Linked DNA regions of Canis lupus familiaris. The protein of the gene in region 2 purifies or fractionates together with the protein of the main gene of each other region. This does not show direct contact. Links are inferred from orthologs where the notes say so. Each region holds a gene or a part of one and is shown on either strand. Other genes may lie near its edges.

The links.
Region 1: the proteins of DAPK1 (region 2) and IFI30 purify together in Homo sapiens (affinity purification with mass spectrometry; 3 studies listed by BioGRID and IntAct, counting the BioPlex papers as one, with this or other methods). This does not show direct contact. The link is inferred for Canis lupus familiaris from reciprocal best matches to the Homo sapiens genes DAPK1 and IFI30.

Annotation. Positions count from the first base shown.
Region 1 is NC_049241.1:45,228,747-45,233,338, reverse strand, and holds the start of IFI30 (gamma-interferon-inducible lysosomal thiol reductase), read left to right. Parts: upstream 1-1,564; 5' UTR 1,565-1,606; coding exon 1,607-1,738; intron 1,739-2,738; coding exon 2,739-2,921; intron 2,922-3,006; coding exon 3,007-3,081; intron 3,082-3,322; coding exon 3,323-3,415; intron 3,416-4,223; coding exon 4,224-4,376; intron 4,377-4,548; coding exon 4,549-4,592. UniProt on the Homo sapiens protein: Lysosomal thiol reductase that can reduce protein disulfide bonds. May facilitate the complete unfolding of proteins destined for lysosomal degradation. Plays an important role in antigen processing.
Region 2 is NC_049222.1:72,870,592-72,874,395, forward strand, and holds part of DAPK1 (death-associated protein kinase 1), read right to left. Parts: intron 3,417-3,804; coding exon 3,296-3,416; intron 259-3,295; coding exon 70-258; intron 1-69. UniProt on the Homo sapiens protein: Calcium/calmodulin-dependent serine/threonine kinase involved in multiple cellular signaling pathways that trigger cell survival, apoptosis, and autophagy.

The DNA.
Region 1 (4,592 bases), on a different chromosome or scaffold from region 2:
GTACACACCAGTTCCGCAAAGTTGTGCTGTGCAAAGGGTTCAAAGGGACAAGATGGCAGGATCATCCAGCCGTGGGCACTTCAGGGAAACCCCGGCCTCGGAGCCTGCTGCTGTGGACACCAGGCCGGGACTTCCCCAAACCGGAAGAAGACAAGGGAGCTGGGGAACTGGGGCCTTTGGCTATAATCTGGGCCAGGTGTGGGTGTTTCCTCCCATGGGATCAGGTCCTGTGTCATGCCTGGTATTTGAGGCCCTGCAAAGTCTAAGCATCTCAGTTATCCCCTCATGACCTCAGTCTCCACGAGGTGAGGCGGGCTATGGGCTATTCTCTGTCGGTGCTAATGTCCTGCGTCAACACCTTTCCAGCGGTGCCTCCCCCATCACAGCCTGGGGAACCTCTCCCTCTGCCTCTGAGCCCTCCCTGTGGCTTTATTCTCCAAACTTCACTTTTTTTTTTTCCTAAGATGTTATGTATTTATTTGTGAGAGACACAGAGAGAGAGGCAGAGACATAGGCAGAGGAGAGGTGGGCCCCCTGAGGGAGCCTGATGTGGGACTCCATCTCACGACCCCAGGATCATGACCTGAGCCAAAGGCCGATGCTCAACCACTGAGCCACCCAGGTGCCCTCCAAACTTCACCATTTTACAGAAGGGGAAGCAGAGGGTCCATGACTTGAGGTGCCCGGTAAAGTCCAGCCCCAAACCCTGGTCTAGGTGATTCCAGCAGGTTCGAGTCCCACACTGCCAAGCCCCCAGCCTAACCCGGCGTACACAGGATGGGCCTAAGGTGATTACTGCCCTGCGGGCCCAGAGGCCCCACACCCGCACCTCAAGCTTTGGATGGTGGCAAGAAGGAACGCCAGCTTTCCTTGTACCCCCGACTCTCACCCGAGACAGGGCGGGGAGGACAGAGAGAAGTGAGGGGCCCTCCCCGCCGGCTTCTGCTTTCTGGCCTGGCTGCGGCGGGCGCCGCCCGAGTCAGCTGGCTGGTGGGCGGGAGCCTGAGAGGAGGGGGCACCAGGGGCAGGGCCGAGGCGTGGAGAGTGGGGGGGCGGACCCCGCCCCGGGCTAGCGGGAGGCGGCCCGGCTGCGCAGTTCCGACCCCCCGGGGCAGCGGGGGGGGGGGGGGGAGCGACGTGCCCGGGCTCGGAACCGGGCTTGGGGGAGCTGCATGACCCTTGGCCGCCCCCCAGAGCGGTCCGCGGCCGCGTGGAGACCCTCGCGTCTCTCTGCCTCCCTGCGTCTCTCGGTCTCTGAAGCCGCCACCTAGTCTCGGCTCCCGGTGCTGTGACCCCAGCCTCACATGACCGGGCGGCCCCGGCGGCCCGGAAGGGTCAAGGTCGGCCCCGCGGCCCGGCAGGTGGGGGGAGGGAAGCGCCCCCACGGCCGCGTGACTGCGGGCCCGGCAGCCGGCGCGAGCGGGGATGGGGGTCAGGTGGGCGTGGGCCCTAGGCGGGCCGGGGGACCCCAGAGTCGCCCGCCGCAGCCCCAGGGGCGTGGGCACCGGGAGGCGGGTCCGGCCTGGGGGCTGGGCCACCGCCGGGTTAAAGGCGGCTCCCGCCCGGGCCGCCGCTCCTCCCGCCTCCGCGTCCTCGCCCCGCGGTGATGGCTCTGTGGTCGCTCCTGCCGTGCCCGCCGCCGCCGCTGCTGCTGCTGCTGCTGCTGCTGCTGGGGGTCCCCGCGGCGGCACGGGGGTCCCCGCGGAAAGTCCTCTCCGAGGGGGCGGCCGCCTGCAAGGTAGGGACGGCCTCGCGGCGGGAGGGCCAGCGGGGACCGGCGCGCCCGGGCTGCGGGCTGCGGGCTGCGGGCTGCGGGCTGCGGGCTGCGGGCTGCGGGCGGGACGCTGCTCAGGCTCCCCGGACTCTGCCGGAAAGCCTGGGGTTCGGGGCCCGGGGAGGGGGGCGCTGCCCCGGTCGGTTCCGAGTCCCCCCCGCGCTGCCGGCGCTCGGAGTGCTTTCACTTCCCCATCCCGCGTCTGTCCCCGACCGCGGCCCGGGGGTGCACGGAGCTCCTGCTGTGTACCCCTGGGCGGCGGAGGGAAGCCCAGAGGAGTCGGCGCGTGGCACCCACACTCCAGGTGCTGCTTACGGGGCGCCCTTCGGCGGGGGGAGAGCTCGCGCATTTCTGGTGCGGAGCAAGCGGATGTCTGGGAGCCGAGCGCCTGCTCCCCGCTGCACAGACCCTGGCGGGCCTGCCGCCGGCCGCTGAAACCGGAAGTCAGCACGTATTAGGCGCCGCCTCAGCAGGAGAGCCTGGGAGGGGTTCACCTGCGCCCCCTGAGAGGCAGATTAGTAACGGGTTAGCCCAAGTGTAGGGCCTTGCGCAGCCCGGGGCCAAGGCTCTGGGGGTGAAGTGGCAACAGATGAGCATACATTAGTCTCCTGGGGTATACACCCCTGTCAGAGAAGGCAGGATTGACAGCAGCGACCAGAAGTGTCCATGCATTGAGTCCTTACTGCATACACTTCCCCTGGGCCAAGGGTTTCACCTCAACTGAGGGAAAGCAAGAGCTGTTCATAAATTAAGTGCCTACTGTTTGCAAGTCTTTGTCACATCCGTTTTTGCAGAAAAACTGAGATTTAGGAAGATTTAGGGATGCAGTGAAGCCCTGGAGTCAAGATTCCACCTGACAATGTCTGAAAGGACTGCAATATGGAGCACCTACTGTTTGTAGCTGCAAGAGAACCAAACAGGGCTATCCTCCCTACAAACCCCTCCCTTCCTCCCTCCCGCACAGGTTGGGGACCTATGCCTGCAGGAGCCCCTCAGGAAGTCAGAAGCACCACTTGTCAATGTGAGCGTCTACTACGAGGCACTGTGTCCCGGGTGCCGGGCCTTCCTGGTCCGAGAACTCTTCCCGACCTGGCTGATGGTCCTGGAGATCCTCAATGTCACGCTGGTGCCCTATGGAAATGCCCATGTATGTTGGCACTGGGGAACCAAGGCACTAAGCCAGGGAAGGGGCACCTGGTGGGCCAGCCAGCACTCACCTACCTGCTTTGCAGGAACAAAATGTCAGCGGCAGGTGGGAGTTCACATGTCAGCACGGTGAGCAGGAATGCAAGCTTAACAAGGTGGAGGTGAGCAGACCCCTGAGTATTCGAGTGGTGGGGGCACAGAGGCTGGGGAGATGCCCATTGTAAGGAAGGCAAAAGCAAGGCTCAGAAGGGATTGGAACCAGTTCCATCCTCTGCCTGTCTGCCTCTTTAATCACATCTTCATTCACCGCTTCATTAGTGAACACCTGTGTTACTCCCAGAGTGGTCCAGGGGTGCTCTGGGCCCACTTCAATCCCTCACCTCTCCACCCCCTATCCCACAGGCCTGCCTGTGGGACAAGCTAGATAAAAATTTGGCCATCCTGATCATTGTCTGCATAGAGGAAATGGATGACATGGAGGAAAATCTGAAACCGGTGAGCAACACCCCTCACTTGGCCCCGGGCTGGGAGACCCTGGTCTTCCCTGTCTCCAAACAGACCCAAGTTCAAGTCTTGGCCTGACTACCACTCTCTGTGTAGCCCCAGGAAAACAGCCTTCCCTCTGGAAGCCTCAAATCTCTAAAACAAGGGAACAAATATCTTTTGGGGGCATGGGTAGATCAAGGAGGGCTTCCTGGAGGAGGTGCCTCTGAACTGAGCTTGGATGAACAAAAATGTGCAGAGACACAGATGATGATCCTCATCTCGAGTATGGGGATGACAGGACAGGCCCGCATACTTCTCTGGAGGATTATGAAAAACAACTCCCAATGGAGTGACTCATTGATGCCAATAAGTTTATTCACTCATCAAACATCTGGACCACCCAAAAGGCTCACCCTGGGACACCCCCAGCTCTGCAGAGTCATAGTGGGGCCAGAGGAGTGCAGAGGAGGGAGCACTCAGAAGATTCTGGGGAAGTGGAAGGGTGTTCCTGGTGGGGGGGAACAGCACAAACAGAAGCCCTGAGAAAAATGAGATACTGCAGTGGTCCGGGGCTGCGGGTCTGGTCTTATGAGAGGGAGGAGCAGCCTGAGCCCCTGCCTTGGGGGCCTCCACTCAGGTAAGTGTTAAGTACGTGCTGTTTGTGGACATTGTTGCATTGCTGTGGACCCAAATGTCTCCTGTGGCCAGTGAGGAACAAGCTTGGCTTGGGGGGACTGGAGGAGGGACCGTTGGGGAGATAACTCGGAGGAAGCTGAGGCAATGCTCCTACTCACCAGCAACCCTTGTCCACCCTCAGTGCATGGAGATCTATGCCCCAACAATGTCCCCAGACACCATCATGGAGTGTGCAGTGGGGGACCGTGGCATGCAGCTCTTGCACATTAATGCCCAGCTTACAGATGCTCTGCAGCCGCCCCACGAATATGTGCCCTGGGTCGTCGTCAATGGGGTAAGAGCTCTTGTAGCCTTCAGTGTGCCACCAGGCCGGGACCGGGATGATGGATGTGCCTTCTGGTCTGGGAGGCAGGGGTCAGACTTGCAGCCATTTGCAGCCCTTGATGGGCCGGGCATGGGTTGGTTGGGGCAAGGGACTGTATGACTTCCTGTCTTGCTTTGTGCAGAAACCCCTGAAAGATCTGAGTCAGCTCCTAAGCCTCGTCTGCCA
Region 2 (3,804 bases):
AAGCACCTTCGGATTGGGGACAGAAAAACATCCCCAACGCCACTATCCCAGCCAGGCCCCAGTCCCTACCTCGCCAGCACTGTGAAGCTGCTGGGCTATGCGCCGGAGGTCTCCCTCTCTAGCCAGGGGGTTCAGCTGGTCTTGCACATCGTACACAAACTGCTGCAGAGACATGAGCTGGTTGGGCCCGTTGAGCTTCCTCCAGGAAGGCAGCGTGGAGATGATCTTCTCACACAGGTGGGTCATCGGGGGGCAAACCTAGAACGTGCAGGGCAGGACACATCAACATGCAGCCGACAGGGACTCCCCAGGAAAAGCCCAGGTAGAAAGGACGGCGCTCTTTTCTGCACTGTTGCAAGAAATACTTGGGACGAGTTAGTGAGGTTTTGGGTACCCTGGGCCAGTTCTTTTCTTTATAGTGTTGCCTCTAAGCAAAATCCATTTATAAGCATAAAATGGTATAGATGCTTTCATTGCTGCTGCTAATGGAGAAGAGTGGGGAGGCTTCACAACAATCCTTGTGGACTGTACAGACTCCATTACAGTGCTCCTTAGCCCCTAATGCTCTGCTCTCTCCGTTCCTCCGTCCCTCCCCTGGAGTGACTCCTTTAGCTGGAACATGATCACTTTATGAGCAAAGGGAGAGGAAAAGAGAGTAACTATCATTAGCAATACTGGAGTGGGTTTTTATCAGCAAATTAGGTATCTGTGAGACCATTGTGAAAAGTACAATTTAAATTAGACCAATTCTTGGTAATGGGCTTGAAATATATTTTTTTCTTAAATTATTTAAACAAATTGTTAAAAATTTTTATTTGACTATAGTCCATATGCAATGTTACATGAGTTTCAGGTGCGTGACACAGGGACTGGACAAGTCGTAGGTGGCGCTGGGCTCAGCACACCAGAGTAGTACCTCCCTCACCACACACTATTACAATACGACTGACTCCATGCCCTATGCTGTGTCTTTTATTCCTGTGATTTATTCATTCCGTGACTGGAAGGTTGCATCTCCCAGACTCCCTTCACCCATTTTGCTCATCCCCTCTTTTCCCCTTGAAATAGGTTTTTAATCTTTCAATTTGATTAAATAAATCATGTGTATGACAGACTCCTATAATCCGCACACCATCCTAATTAAAAACACCTGCCATACACTGCCCTGCATCATTTATCAGGCAGTCCCTTCTCGAATTCTACCTTTATGTCAAGCAGCATCCCAGCATCCAGGGGCTGCAGGAATCGCAGTGAAGCACCAGGTGCCCCAGGAGGAGAGAGTCAGCTAAATCCCACTCCCTATTCATAAAATAAAATTCCCAGGGAAACAGGCAGTCTGTGTGATGGGTTCCACCTGCTTGGCCTCAGGAGCTGAGGGTGGGGGTTGTGAAGCAAACAATGTCACCAGGCCCTGGTTCAAAACTCTCCAGGGACTCCCCGGAGCCCAGGGCAGAGGCCCTACTGCCCCCTGGTGGGGAGGTGCTGGGGTCCTTCACAGACCACGTTCCCGATCACCACCCCTGGTTTCTGTGACCGGGTTCCTCTGAGTGCCCCTACACGACTCCCCACTGACTGGGGTGAGGGCCAGGCTTCCGGAGGGCCCTGAGTCTTCCTCAAGATTCCTAAAGCACACGTGGCTGGAGTCTGGTGGTGTGCACGGGAGCACCTCCCAGCATGGAAGCAGTAAGCTTTCCCTGGAGAGAGGCCACCCACCACCAGGGCTGGGACACATGCTCTGCATTCACACCCAGGCCGGGGCAGCAGGAACTTTCCAGGGAGCATTGTGCCCTTGGAATGCTAACCCCTTTCCCATCAGCTTGGGAGAACTTACTGAGTATCATAGATTAGCAACCTTTTACGGGTCAGAGGCACAGAGAATATTTTTTCTAGTCTATTTCACCGTTTAACTTCGTTCATGGAATTCATTTGTCAGAAAAGAAATGCCAGCTTTTATGTTGTCAGATAGGTATGCTATCTTTGAAGACTTCTAGGGTTCTCTATATTGCTTGAAAGATTTTTCCAAGGCAGTACCACATTATTTTAAAAAGACATTCAAGATATTGTGGGCTTTTTTCTTTTTGACATTTAAAAGTTTTTATCAACCTAGAATTTATTTTTGGAATTCACAGTAAGTAGAATTCAATCTCGTTTCATTCTAGACTAACAGCAGTTGTGTCAGATCAATGATGAGATATTTTCCTCAAAATTTCAATCTCTGTTTTCTAGTAAGTTTCTATAGATGTTGGATTATTTCTACACTAATTTATTCCACTTATTCAGTTGCTGATTTTGGATTTATTAATTGCACAGCCTTTATAATAGATTTTATTTATACTTCCACTGAAATTTTAAGGTAAAATACCCAACCCAATTGTCTCACTCTCAGGAGATGCATGCTAGGACTGTACCAAGCTTACACAATATGGGAAAACCAAACATTGAATAAGATCTTGCTGCCCAAGAGCCCAGTGTCATCCATTTGTGCATCTATTATTTTATGTCCTTCAATAAATTTTGCTGGTGATGGTTCTTCTATTTTTCTGCATTTTCTTTTTTTTTTTTTTAAACTTATTATCTGAGAGAAAGAGAGAGTGCAAGTGCATGCACAAAACTGAGGGGCAGGGCAGAAGGAGAGGATCCTCAAGCAGACTCCAGACTGAGTGTGGAGCCTGACTCAGGGCTACATCTCACGACTCATGAGATCAAGATCTGAGCTGAAGCCAAGATAAGGCACTTAACCTGACTGAGCCATGCAGGTGCTCCTCTGCATTGTCTCACTATTTCACAATAAGTCACTTCTGGGTAGGTTCTGCGATTTGTTTTTTTGTTTTGTTTTTTAGATTTTATTTATTTATTCATGAGAGACACAGAGAGAGGCAGAGACATAAGCAGAGGGAGAAGTAGGCTCCCTGTAGGGAGCCTGATGTGGGACTTGACCCCAGGACCCTGGCATCATGACGTGAGCCAAAGGCAGACGCTCAACCACTGAGCCACCCAGGTGTCCCAGGTTCTGTGATTTCTAAAAGGCCGTGCTACTTGCAGACTGGCCACTAAAGCTGTCAGAATCCTACACACTGTAATGTGGCCCCTATGCCCATAACCCCCCTCATCTCCAGGCCACCTCCGTATTCTCATCCTTCTTTCCTCCTCCCACAGCAAACATGGCCGTGCAGCTGCCTCCTACCACGACCCCTGGGAACCAAACCTAACCTAAGAGGACAGCACAAAGAGGCCAGCTCCAGGGTGACCAGATGGTCTAAGCAAAGGTGGGCCTGCAGCCTCCCAGCACACTCACCGAGACAATCTGGCTCCGAATGTCTTGCAGGTGACTTCGAAGTACTTTCATGTCCTTAGAGCCCGAAGCGCCAGCATCCAGAACAAAGAGCTTGTTTGAAATATGGAGATCGTTCCCAAACCTAAGGGAAGAGCAGTGGCCTCAAGGTGATGCAGTCCCACCAGTTGTCCCCACAGACGGCAGGCTCCTGCTGGCCTGAAAAGCTGGTCTGAAGCCATAAAGTTCTTATGACCTTGCAAAGGGCACCCCCTCCCTGCTGGCTTCTGTCACCTTACACTGGGTGGTGACCCCCACGCTCCGAGTCCTTAGGACGGTGGTGGAGGGGCGGGGAGTGGCCCCAGTTATACCAAACAGCAGGGACACAGTACGGGAAGATTTCAGGACAGGTGAGGCCTATGCTGTTACCTTGCAGGCTAGGAGGACAGTGGCCACCGCAGGGCGATGGAGTAAAAGCAGAGAAAGGGCACGACAGCCACACCTTATATGGAAAATATCAGTACGAGACCTCT